Linked DNA regions of Oryzias latipes. The protein of the gene in region 2 interacts with the protein of the main gene of each other region in a biochemical or structural test. Links are inferred from orthologs where the notes say so. Each region holds a gene or a part of one and is shown on either strand. Other genes may lie near its edges. The genes, in order: ETS domain-containing protein Elk-1, srf and myog.

What was found.
Region 1: the proteins of srf (region 2) and ETS domain-containing protein Elk-1 form a complex in vitro, tested with the Homo sapiens proteins (2 studies listed by BioGRID). The link is inferred for Oryzias latipes from reciprocal best matches to the Homo sapiens genes SRF and ELK1.
Region 3: the proteins of srf (region 2) and myog form a complex in vitro, tested with the Homo sapiens proteins (2 studies listed by BioGRID and IntAct). The link is inferred for Oryzias latipes from reciprocal best matches to the Homo sapiens genes SRF and MYOG.

The regions. Positions count from the first base shown.
Region 1 is NC_019865.2:33,754,921-33,759,071, forward strand, and holds the start of ETS domain-containing protein Elk-1, read right to left. Parts: upstream 2,803-4,151; 5' UTR 1-2,802. Other genes in the region: protein UXT, read right to left, coding at 3,627-3,677, 3,755-3,818, 4,072-4,151. UniProt on the Homo sapiens protein: Transcription factor that binds to purine-rich DNA sequences. Forms a ternary complex with SRF and the ETS and SRF motifs of the serum response element (SRE) on the promoter region of immediate early genes such as FOS and IER2.
Region 2 is NC_019873.2:29,042,407-29,046,559, reverse strand, and holds the start of srf (serum response factor), read right to left. Parts: upstream 2,823-4,153; 5' UTR 2,477-2,822; coding exon 1,847-2,476; intron 1-1,846. UniProt on the Homo sapiens protein: SRF is a transcription factor that binds to the serum response element (SRE), a short sequence of dyad symmetry located 300 bp to the 5' of the site of transcription initiation of some genes (such as FOS).
Region 3 is NC_019863.2:28,569,191-28,573,320, forward strand, and holds myog (myogenin), read right to left. Parts: upstream 2,801-4,130; 5' UTR 2,543-2,800; coding exon 2,015-2,542; intron 1,463-2,014; coding exon 1,363-1,462; intron 1,281-1,362; coding exon 1,162-1,280; 3' UTR 436-1,161; downstream 1-435. UniProt on the Homo sapiens protein: Acts as a transcriptional activator that promotes transcription of muscle-specific target genes and plays a role in muscle differentiation, cell cycle exit and muscle atrophy.

The DNA.
Region 1 (4,151 bases), on a different chromosome or scaffold from region 2:
TGCTGGGGGTTCACTAAGCGGTCCACAGCTCGGAGAGGGCTTTCTCGGTCGGGGATTCTGCGGCTCGAACGTGAACGGTTCGGTCCGTACTGCGCGAGTCGGTGTGGTGAACGGAGCCCCTGTCACGAACCGCTCACAGTCTCCTGCTAACTTTGTCAAAGTGAACCAAAAGTAAACAGTTCAACCCCTCTCCCCGTGTTGGGTTCGGTTCCGACTCCACGAACTAGACGGTAAACGGTCCCCTCTTCAGTTCAGCAGGCTAACTGCTCAGCTAGCTTAGCGCGCTTCTGAGGCGACAAGCGCAGGAAACCCGGTCAGAACCACTACAGTCCTCCGGTACCGTCCGCACTCCTCCAACACAAACAGAAAGTAGTTGGTCCGGTCCCCCCGCTGTCCGAACGTCTGTTCCGACCACGAGCTTCGAGGAACGGCCAGTTAGATGAGTTGGTTTCCTGTGGGGGGCGGGAGGAGGGGGGTACGGCTGCAGTCAAACCCGGCGGGCTTCCGGCTGACGCTCCGGGAGAAAGGACCGACCTCAGAGCGGCTCCCAAGCCGTCCCGATGCACGACGGCGGGCTGGCCCGGTCATACAAAGTAGTTTGTATCGATTTAGGCAATCGGCTCCAGCATTTTACTGCCTGTTGTTTAGTTCTAATAGTAATGCGTAACAGTCTGTCAAAACAAAAAAACCTGAGGGAAAGTGATAATAAACTGACTGTACTGTTCTGGGGAAATCCAATTCAGCAAATTGTTTTTCTGTTCAGTTCTGAGATACAGCTGGTAGAGACAGCTTTAATACCAAAAACTTTGAAGCAAAAAACCGCAGAGCTACAAAGCCCACTATTGAAAAAAAAAAACAAGTATTTCAAAGTTGTGATTATCTATCAACAGGCACATTAATTAACAGCTCTTGTGATCCATGCAAAGTAACAGTTTATCTGCAGTTGCTATGATCTATTTTTCTGACAGTTCATTGATTTTGATGCCCTATTCTAAGGTTTCTGCGTTTGTAACATTTCCTTGAGTGTCTGTTATCTATCTACTACAGTCACTTTGAAATGTACCGTTGTTTGTTGCTTGTGACCATCTAGTGCATCCTCTACAGAAGCTGTCAAACATCTGCTGCAGCTGTTATCTATCTACAGATGCAGCTGGCAACCCTTCCACAGTAGCTGTCCATGCCCAACATTGGCTTTCAAACATCTTCAGAAGCTGTCAACTATGCATCTACAGAGGCTGTATGTACAAAATTGAGCTGTCAGTTATATATTGTAGCTGTAAACAATTAACAGGCGTTGTGAGCAATCTACAATGTATCTACAATGAACAAAAACGTAAACCCAACACTTTTGTTTTGGGAGATTTTGGATGTGATTTGCACGTATTTCAAGTGTGACCAAGCACAAAAAGTGATGGAAATTCACGTTGATGCACATTGCTGGCTGATGCCCACACATATTCTAAGTGCATCCAAGGGTAGATTTCGTTGTTGGTCACACATATTTTAAGGTGTAATTGTAAAGACTGGAATGGCTGCTGTTAATTGCTGTTAAGCATTTTCAAGATAAAAGTTCAGTACTGGCTGCGCGGATTTTAGAAATTACGTACAACTTGTCACTTCCTTTGTTTTTTGTCTTGTCTTTTATGAGATGAATTTGAAGATCTGTAACATTTTCTACAAACACAAGATTACCATTTCTTTCAAAAATTGTTGGCGTCTGTTTAAATCTGTGATAGTGAGCACTTCTCCTTTGCTGAGATATTCCAGCCCACCTCACAGGAGTGCCATATCCAGATGCTGAGCAGACAGCATGAGTAAAGGTGGGCCTTAGACCGGCCACGGTAAAAGGCCGCCCTGAAAAGTTCCGTTATCACACATCACAATGACACAGAGGTCGCACGGTTTGAGGGAGCGTGGAATTGGCATGCAGAAGAATTTCCACCAGAGCTGTTGCTCGTGAAGTGAATGTTCATTCTTCAACCATCAGCTGTCTCCAAAGGTGTTTTAAAAGAATTGCTGGTTGAATTACATTGACCATGTGTATCCACACTAGCCCAGGACCTCCATATTCAGCCTGTTCACCTCCAAGATTGTCTGAAACCAGCTACTTGAACAGCTGCTGAGACAATCGGTTTGGATAACCAAAGAATTTTCACAAAAATTGTCAGAAACCGTCTCAGGGAAGCTCATTGGCCACTGATCTTTGCCACTTTTGTGGGCAAATGCTCAGATTTGAAAGCGTCTGAAGAGGTGTTCTCTTCACAGCTAAGTCCTGGAGCGGTTTTCCAATGTCTATGACGTGGATCAAGTGGCCCATGGTGGTAGTAAGGTTATTGTATGGGCAGGAGTATGTTATGGTTGAAGAACATAGATGCATTTATATATGGCATTTTGAATACACAGAGATGCCGTGACGAGATCCTGAGGCCATACATCCAAGAACATCAGCTCATGTTGCAGCATGATAATGTGTGGCCCCGTAGTGCAAGACTCAGTATTCAGTTCTTTGAAGCTGAAAACATCCCAGTTCTTGCATGGACGGCACACTCACTTGACATGTCGCCCATCATCGAGCATGTTTGGAATGCTATGGATAGATGTATACAGAAGTGTGTTCCAGTTCCTGCCAATATCCAGCAACTAAGCACAGCAATTCCCCAGGCCACAATCCACAACCTGATCAATGTAAAGTAGTGATGTGATGTTTGAGTAGTGGGGGAGGAGTTTCCACAAAGCATGCATCAAGGCCTGCTTCATTGAAGGGTGATGAAAATGATGACATCAGAAGCCTCGTGACTGATTCATGAAGTGGTTCTGATTTGACAGCCACATGAATCCTTCAGGCTCCGTTCAAAATGTGGGTGTTTGATGGAGAGTTACGGTCAGTGAGAGTCTGGACAGAGAGAGATAGAGTTTGGAGAGTGTGGAGATTTAGGCAAAACTGTTTTTTATTTTATTTTTAAAATAAAATCATCAGATTAATGTGTCTCTTAAACACACTGGCCCGATCTCAATGTTATAAAAGCAGGATCATAGTCCAAAGCCCAGCCACCCTCACATGGGGATGAGTACTGAAACTCGGTGCCGAGTCTGTACTGGTTAAAACGCGGATTTTGGTGTTTTGTTTGTGACCTGTCAATCTCTTGTTTTCTCTTCAGTTTTGCTGTACAATTCCAGCCAATCATTTAACCTTTTCAGCAAATGCAAATAAGAAAGGGTGGAGCAATGAGAGTAAGCAGAATTTCAGTCCAAATGGGTGAAGAAAAGGAGAATGAGCAGTGACATAGACTTCGCCCCTTACCAGCACAAAGGACAACTTAAATGTGGATGCCATTGCATCGCTCTGACCTGCCACCATATTTAAAGAACAAAGCTGACAACAAAATAGTTCTTGTTTGTTCAGAAACTCAGCTTTAGCTCCTTAACACCTTTGGAGTGAAAATCAGAAGACCCTTCCTGGTAAACTATTCTGAAAGGTCTGTGAAGCAAATCAGGTGCATCTCCCTGATGGATCCTGATCAGTGTCCAAGTTTCTTCCAGAATGAAGGTCTTTCTTCCTACTCGGCAGGTAGGTTTGGCTCCATGACAGCCGGATGTCCACTTTTACAACTTTTCTACAAAAAATCTCATTGTGTGCTGTCAAGTGAGTCACTGAGCCCCTGCAGCTCCCGCAGACCCTGGGGAACGCAAACACAACTTCAGGATTGCAATACATCCGTTACCACATTCTGACTATAAGCATGGTCAAACAGACCTCCAGCACCATCCGGATGTTGGCTCTTATTTTGGCAGAGTCCTTGGTGAGCTGTTCTGTGAAGCTGCAAAACAAACCATCCCATGTTAGCACCTTTTACACTGATCAACAATATTAGCAATGAACTAACAGCTGACAGGAAGTCTATTCAAACTGTACTCAAAGATCCAAACCAGAAAACTAAGTCTCCATCATGTTTAGGAAAAGAGAACTTTTCTCTCTAAATTCAAGAAAACAGCATATTCTGCTTTAACAGTGTGCGATAGAAAACTGTTTATCGCATCACTACAAAGGAATCATTTGTGGGCGGGACTTACCCTGTCAGCTGACTTGTCTTCTTCTCAATGAAGCGCAGAGCCTCGTCAAGAGACATCTCTACAAAGAAACCGAAGCCCAC
Region 2 (4,153 bases):
GACCGGAGCGGAAACGCGGCCCTCAAACATCTCAACGGGAACGTCAGAACTCCAACCTGCAGAAAAATCCAGAAATAAAAGTGATGCATTTCACCACAGAGACCAAAATAGCAGAAGATAAAGGTTCGAGTCCAGGAGAAGCTCGTCCCTCCAGCGAGGAGGACGGAGGAATGGCTTCCAGCAGATGCTTGGACTCAGACTGCATCCAACACACACATCCGACCAAACGGCTGCACTCAGCCTGAACTCCCCTCAGAGTCATCGCTCATCCTGAAGATGCTCCCGTCACCGTCAGGGAAGGCCGCCATCCCCCTCAGCACACGCCGGCGGGGGCGTCGCCCCAGAACTCGCAAATCAAATTCAAATTTGAGAACTTTATGGAGCCGTTGTAAAACCGGCGAAAGCTTCAGAGTAGCGGTGGAGAGCAGCAATCGTCCAGCCCCTCTGCTCCTCGCCGTGACTCCACGCTCACCTCCCCTCGCTGCCTACCGCGGCGCCGCTTCAACAACACCGCCGAGTCTGGCCAACGTCCAGCCTGGAAAAACGGACTCATTTGTCAACCTGAGCGTGGACGGCGGCCTTTAATAGGGCTCCTCGCTCTGCCAATTTTCACATAAATATGAGTAGCTGCAGGTGGGGGTGGGGGGCTGCTGTCTCCGCCTGATTGGTTCCTTTGGCACAACTAAAGCGGAGCCATTAACGAGAATTGCCGTACAATAACAGGCATATGTTAACCCTTTAACGCCTGTATTCATGCCAGCTGTTCTCAGGCTGATGCTCAATAAAGTTATTTTGGAGCCAAAGTGGTTTGATCCATATATGCATCAACAGACGTAAAGAAGTTCAAATAAAAACTTTGGCTCTTTGCTGTTTTCTTAGGCCTCATCCGGGTCCAAAAAGACTCGAAACGTCCTAGCAAAAGAACTCAGGAGCCCGAACCATCACTTTATCTCAGGCCGTGTTGGGGGCCACTGAAAACCAGCGGCAGATCCCTGCTCCCTGTAAACGACACGGCGTTCACCACGAACGACTCCACCGCTCGCCGCCGAGGAGAAACCAAAACGTCCATGAGAAGGAACCACCTACGGACCAGGAACAGAACCTCCAGCATCACGTGGATCCGTCAAAATGAAAGTTCAGAGCTACGATGAGTCGTCCCACTCCACCCACCTGTCAGCTCCTGTCAGGGCTGACGGAGTGTGGGCAACAGAAATCTCCATCCCCTCATTGTTGCCAAAAGCCCACATGAAGACACCACAGTTTCCACGACAACAGTCTGGGATGCATCAAAACACAACAGTTTAGATGGTGCTGTGGAAATAAAAACACACTGAAAAAAAGAGGAGTTTTTATGAAATCTGGCTCCTAATGACCTTCAGATGATCAGCAGAATATTTCTGTGTGATCGGGTTTTTAAGAGAGCGGTTCCGTGTGCAGAAGAACCAAACATGAGTATTCAATGAGGTTCTGCTCCTGGTTCTGGGTGCACCATACGGTGGTCTGTGCAATCGTCTGGTCCGGTTCCCGGGGGTTTAGTCAGCTGTTGGCACATGCAGGCCTGCAAGCCATGTGGCAGCTGCATACATGCATGCATGCATGCATGCAGCTCCATGCATGCATGCATGCATGCAGCTCCATGCATGCATGCATGCAGCTGCATACAGTTATGTGGGGTGAACTTCGTCACAAGCAGAACCGGGATCCTGCATCCTCTGAGGAGGATGTCAGAACTTCCAGACCCAAACTCTGGACATGCTTTCCTCCTCTGAGGGAGCTGTCAGCTCACAAATCAATGAACCAATCATCTTAATCAATCAATGAGCGTGCACGCGCCTCACACACTCACCTTCTTCATGATGCCCGTCTTCCTCTTGCTGAAGGTCGTGTACCTCCGTAACTTGTTGTCTATAAACTCCATCTTAATCTTCACGCGCCCCCGGGTCTTCTTCCCGGGCTTTGCCCCGGCGACTCCCCCGGACACCATGCCGTAATCTCCGGGGGTGACTCCCGCCTCCTGCCCCGCCGCCGCAGCCTCCATCATCTCCCCCCTCTCCCGCTTCACCCCTCTCCTGCTGTCCCCGAGTGACCCCACCGGGTCGTCGTCGTCCCCGGACTCAGAGTCGTTGTCGGAGCCGCTGCACACCCGCTCCGGGTCGAACCGGGCCCCCATGGGCAGCACGACGCCCGCGTTCAGCCCCACCATGTGTCCCGGTACGGCAGCCTGCAGGGGGTTCCCTCCGGTCCCGTTTCCCGGTCTCGCGGCCCTCGAGCCGCCTGGACCGTTGGCTCCGAGCATCCCAACCGCGTCCCTGTCCCCGGCGTGTCGCCCCGCAGCGCCCGCGCCGTCGCTTAGCCCCGGTCGGACCAGGACGGGGCGAATCCCGCCGCCGACAACCCCCGAACTGTGACCGGTGCTGCCCTTGCCGGACGCGGACCCGTTTCCAGATGGTACCGATCCAGCCTGGCTGGGTAACATTATATTTAGGTGACCGACCGAGTCCCGAGACACCAGCTGGAGAAGCTGGAGCGTGGCGTTGCGTGAGTGCCTCCTGATATATACCGCACGCGCCGGGGCCACGCAATGTAAACAAAGCGCTCAGTTGATTTGGACGCTACGAGACATTAGTGACCCAGACTTTGAGAGTGACGCTGCCCCCGGACCCGCGAACCCGGCTCCGTTCGGTCCACACTCCTCCTCTATTTCCAAAACTCTCCGTACTTTCTCAAAAAGGAAAGCGCGAACAGCTCCGTCGATATGACTCCGCTGCGTCACATAGTTCGCCGTGTGAGCAAAAAAAAAAAGGCCGAATATAACACCCTATGTACTCACGCGAAAACGTGAAGGCGTCGCTTTATTTACATTATTTAGTTTACGTGGATCAGAAATGCATAAAATGATCCCGCATTTTAAAAAGTTATCGCCACGGCGGAGTGATACGAGAGCCAGGGAACTACTTTCCTCCTTATAAAGAGATACAACGTTTCCTTATATGGTGCTGTCTCTCCTTATTTGGTGAGTCACAACGTCGCCTGCTGATTGGTTGAAGATTATCTGACTAAAGCAGTGATTGGACGATAATAGAAGCTCATTTGAATAAATACCAAAATGGTTGCAGTGATGTCAACGTCACAGTCAACGCTCATGTCGCCGAAAAGCGCAACAAAAACACAAAGTTTTCCGTTACAGATTATTTGAGTTTTTTGTTACGCAGTTTGTAATTCAAACATTTGTCCCCATCAACACAAATGTAGAAAAAAAAACATTACAAGCCAACAATAAAATAACGTGAAAAACAAAAAGTACAACAAAAAGCGCGTGGTGATTTATTTCAGTCTGCTCGGGCCTCAAACTCACCTGTTGGTCTACCTTTATTATGACGGCTGGACCAATGAGCTGAGGTCACCAAACTGAGTCTAAAGGTCACGGATGGAAAAGAGCTTCAAGGTCAAAACTGGTCCAAAACCATATTCCTCTTATTCTAAAGGTTCCTGTTAAAAAAAAAAAAAAAAAAAACTTTATTAAATCAGCCAAATCTGGAGCAGCTACAGCCCAACACCACCCAACCTAAAGAACCCCCCCCCCCCCCCCAAAAAAATGTGGCTTTTTTCTAATTGACATTTCATTTCTTTGTTCAAATCGCTGTGAATCAGGAGCAGAAGAAAAGATGCTGTTTGAAAAGGATTCATAAATATGCTGGGTGGTCACAAGCTGGTCTAGGCTTTCAGAACAGTGATGGGAAAGGGGGCGGGGTGGCTCCACATTAACAGCCTCGGTGGAAGACGACACAGATTTGTTTTAGGCTAAAAACGGCATCATCACTTTTAAAAGGCCACTAGGAAGACTTTGAAAATAGGGCAGAAGATGATGAGCAGAACTTCAAAGATTTCAAAAATGGAATTTAGAAAAAGTAAAGTTATGTTCCATCAAAAAAAAAAAAAGACAAATCTGAGCTCAAACTAAGAAATTAAAGGATAAATCCATCGTCATCATCACGGTGTGCATATATGTATATATGTCAGGTTAAACTTGTCATGGAAGTCAACAGGAAACTACATTAGTTTAAACATGAGCATAAAGAACTTTCTTTTTAAAAATAGGTTTAAAAAGTTTAAAAACAAGATCAAAACGGGCCCAAGAGCTACTAGTTTCCCT
Region 3 (4,130 bases), on a different chromosome or scaffold from region 2:
TGTAAACTGCTGCTCGACAACAGCCAATGAAATCCAAACGATCGTCTGGCAAACTCGTCTGGTCTCACATGGGCATCACCCATTCAGTTGCCATGGAAACGTGCTGCAGCGCAGTCTCTTGGCTGACTTACTCCTCATCCGAAGAGAGCACAGTACATGAACAGTGGTTTGATAGACGGCTGTGCTTTTTATAAATCTATTTATTTTACAGTTTTTTTCCAAGGTGTGTAAAGGTGTAATGTGCTATGTGGCAGCTATGAGTACTGTGTCTTTATTCCAGGTGTGAAACAATGCTGACAAATCAAGATTTTATTATTTGGCTATCCAAAAAAAGTGTACTGTATTTATGATTCAATGTAAACATGAGTAAAGTTGTTTTTTAAAGATTTTGGAGGTTGGTTTTGTTATAAATTCAGACATCATCACCAGGCAAAGTATTGAAAAGGTTTTTTATAGCAAGAATTGAAAGGAAAATATCACTTTTGAAAACATCTACAAATGCACAACAATCTTAGTTATAAAAGTCAAAAATAAGTTAGCAAAAAAATAAAAAATAAAATTGCAAAACCACTCTGTAGAAAAAAAAGGGAACATATTTACATCACTGGCATTTATAACCTGTTTAAATTAAGCAGATCTTGGTCAAAACTGCCATGGTACATATTGGCCCCACAAACAATCTCATGTTTTGTTTAAACATTTAAAATTCACACAAAAAGAATGGAAAAATTTGGGAAAGGTTTTGAAAAGAGAAACATCTAATTTAAGTAAAGTGAAGAACCAAGCTTTGTCATATGAATCTTTGATTCTGGAAGCAAGCATACATGGTAATTAGGTGTTTTGGTTCATGCAATAACATCCTTGAGTCTGACAGGTGAGCTCCTGTTATCTACAGCTCTGAACTATGGGATAAGGCAGGCAATAAGGAAAAGAGGTCTCATTGTGTAAAGGAAGAATTGGTTTTGGCTTGAAGACCTAAGGAACAATAAAGTTTAATACAAACCAATGACAAATTTTTATAATTTTGCACAAGATAAAACACTCAAATCAGAATAAAAAAAGGAAACCTAGGTTTTTTGTTGCAATATTTGCCAAATGTTCATTTTTTGTTGTGTTTGTGAAGTTGAGCATCTGCTTGGATGGTTCTGCAGGTTACAGGCTCTATTTGGGAATGTCCACAGAAAAGGTCACAGGTCCGTCAGCCGCAGAGATGCCTTCCACAATAGAAGTCAAGGAGCGCATGTTCCTCTGCTCTGGAGAGTCACCAACACTCAGAAGATCTGCAGACAAGACCGGGTTCCACAGTCAAAACCAGTGAAGGTGTTCTAGTGACACCTCATGGGACCTTTGAAGAGTACTCACCCTCGCTGCTGTAGCTTTGCGGGCATTGGTCTGGAGTGCTGCTCCACTCGGGGCTGCTGCAGCAGGTGCTGCCTGAACTTGGTTCGCTTGACGATGACACCTGTTGCCATGGACACGCACAGACAGAAGTTGCTGTCAGTCACTGTTTTAATGCAGCACAAAACCTCGCAGATAAACACTGAAGTAGCCTCACACACTCAATCACTAATGCATCCTGTGGTTTATCAGAAGCAAATTAAAGTTTCCATCTTAAATTATGGTCATTAATAAGCTGTCGGTGTCACTGCAACTGTCACTTTTGGTTGATATAAATATTTTATAATTACATAATCCCAAATGGTTTAAAAAAGCACACATACATGTATATTCTTATTCTTGTTTTTTAAACATTTGGAATTTATATCTAAATAAAAATTCCGAAACATCCACAACCATCGGTTTTAGCAGGTCTTACAATGGGTTCGCTCATCAAGTTGCGCCCTGAAAAGGTTTTTTATCTGAAACCTAATTTTTCCATCTCTTGTAGCCAAGTTTGTAGCTTCTTGTCTTCCTTTTTCCAAATCAGTCAAAGGTTTCTGTTCTTGCTTTTCTTTGGCTGGTTTTGCTCTCTGTGACTTCTCCCCTCTCCTAAACCTGGTTCCATCCTACTTACTCTTGGCTGGGCCGGGCTGGGTCTGTAGTGCAGTCCCTGCTGCCCTGTCTCTGTGTCCTGCTGGTTGAGGGAGGACACCAGAGCCTGCAGCCTTTCAATGTACTGGATGGCGCTCCGCAAGATCTCCACCTTGGGCAACCTCTGGTTGGGGTTCATCAGGGTGCTCCTCTTCAGAGCGTCAAAGGCCTCATTCACTTTCTTTAGACGTCTCTTCTCCCTCAGCGTGGCTGCTCTTCGACGGTCCATGGTCACCGTCTTTCTTTTACACAGCTTACAGGCCCATGGCAAGCACTGCCCAGGGCAGTGAGACTCTGAGTGAGGTGACAGACTGGATGGAGATGATTTGTCCTCAGGTGCTGGCACTCCAACACCTCCAGGGAGGCCTCCGCACAAACCCATTATGGAGTTTCTGTCCTGGTACCCAGTTTGGTCGTATGCCCCGGGCAGGCGAGAGGGGAAGTAGCTGTCCCCTCCTTCATAGAAGCGCTGGTCAGGAAAGAAGTAAGGATTGGTCTCGAAAAGCTCCATGGTGGGCAACTGTGGTCTAAAAGTGAAGGAGCAAGGATCCCGCTTTCCCTTAGGAACCACGCTTGACTCGGTCTTCTTCTGTCCTGCTTCTGGAGCTTATGTTGGAGTGTCCAAGTGTATGCTTGTCTTCCTCCTGGCCTGAGTTTGTGATGAGTGGAAGACGTGTGGAGAACAACTGGTGTGGAGCAACTGTAGGCTGGCATTTAAACCCCTCTGCCTGTTGCAGGATCACAGGGTTAAATTTAGCACTTGCCTCCAGAAACCTGACACGACGTTTAGCTGTTGCTGCACATCTACACTTCATATCTCTGTTGGGCCTTGCTCTCTAGGGCTTTAAGACATGTTGGTGTGTTTGCATGTGTGTGCCCTTCTGCGGTTCCATGTTACCCATTTGAGTCTTGAGAGACCAGGATATGATCAAGTTGCTGTGGAACAGGAAATGATAACCTTAGATCAAATGTATTTGTCTTAATAAGATAATCCCAGACTAGATTCCCCCTTCCTGCCACTAAACACCTCATTCAGGAGGACACTCTGGGTGCAAAGGGGACACATGCAGGGACAGTATGTTGTGGCAAGACATTGAGAGTTTGTTTTTGTTTTGTGATGGCCACCAGAAACAATGTGGGAGAATTGACATAACTGTAAACTGACAGGCGACATTAAAGCAATTGATATGAAGCAGGCTTCTCTGTCTCTGTAGAAGACAAGTCTTTACAGGCAGCTCAGGAAGTTAAGATTGAAGCTAACGCAAGCTCACTCTGGAAAAGGATGGGACAGTATTGAGAGGACCAAGTAGGAAGGAAGGAACGTCCTAAATTATTCCAGACAGTTCTGGCGTTAGCTTGGCGGGCGGGTGTTAATCCTTCCAGGATGTCTCTAACCTCTAAGTTCGCAAGTTAATTTCGACCAACCTTTCCAAACATGGACACACAACCAAAAACATTTTTATTCAACAGAGAAGCAGCTACGGAATGGGTTGTTGCATCTTTGCATCACATTTTGTTTTTTTCCATAGGAATTATCACCTGGCATAGGTTTTGCCTATATTTTGTGTCCTTATAGTGTATTTGCTGCATTTTTATACTATTTATCTGTTATTATCTGCTGTTTTGTTATCTATCTATCTATCTATCTATCTATCTATCTATCTATCTATCTATCTATCTATCTATCTATCTATCTATCTATCTATCTATCTATCTATCTATCTATCTATCTATCTATCTATCTATCTATCTATCTATCTATCTATCTATCTATCTATCTATCTATCTATCTATCTATCTATCTATCTATCTATCTATCTGTCTGTCTGTCCCACTGCCCATCTAGTCAATCCAGGGCTATCTGCCACATGTTTCTATGCTGCCTGATACAACGAATACGTCCAGGAAAAACAAGTCTGGACATGACAAACCTTAAAAAGCCCACTGCAGTCATGACAGAAATCCATTTAAGCGTGTCATCTCGAGGGACGTGGCGTCTCATTAAAGCGAAGTAGACGTTAATTTGTAATTTTCTCTCCTTTGTTGTTTACAGAAGTGAGTCGCTGTCGGTCTCAAAATAGAAGAAAAGTTTCAGTTCT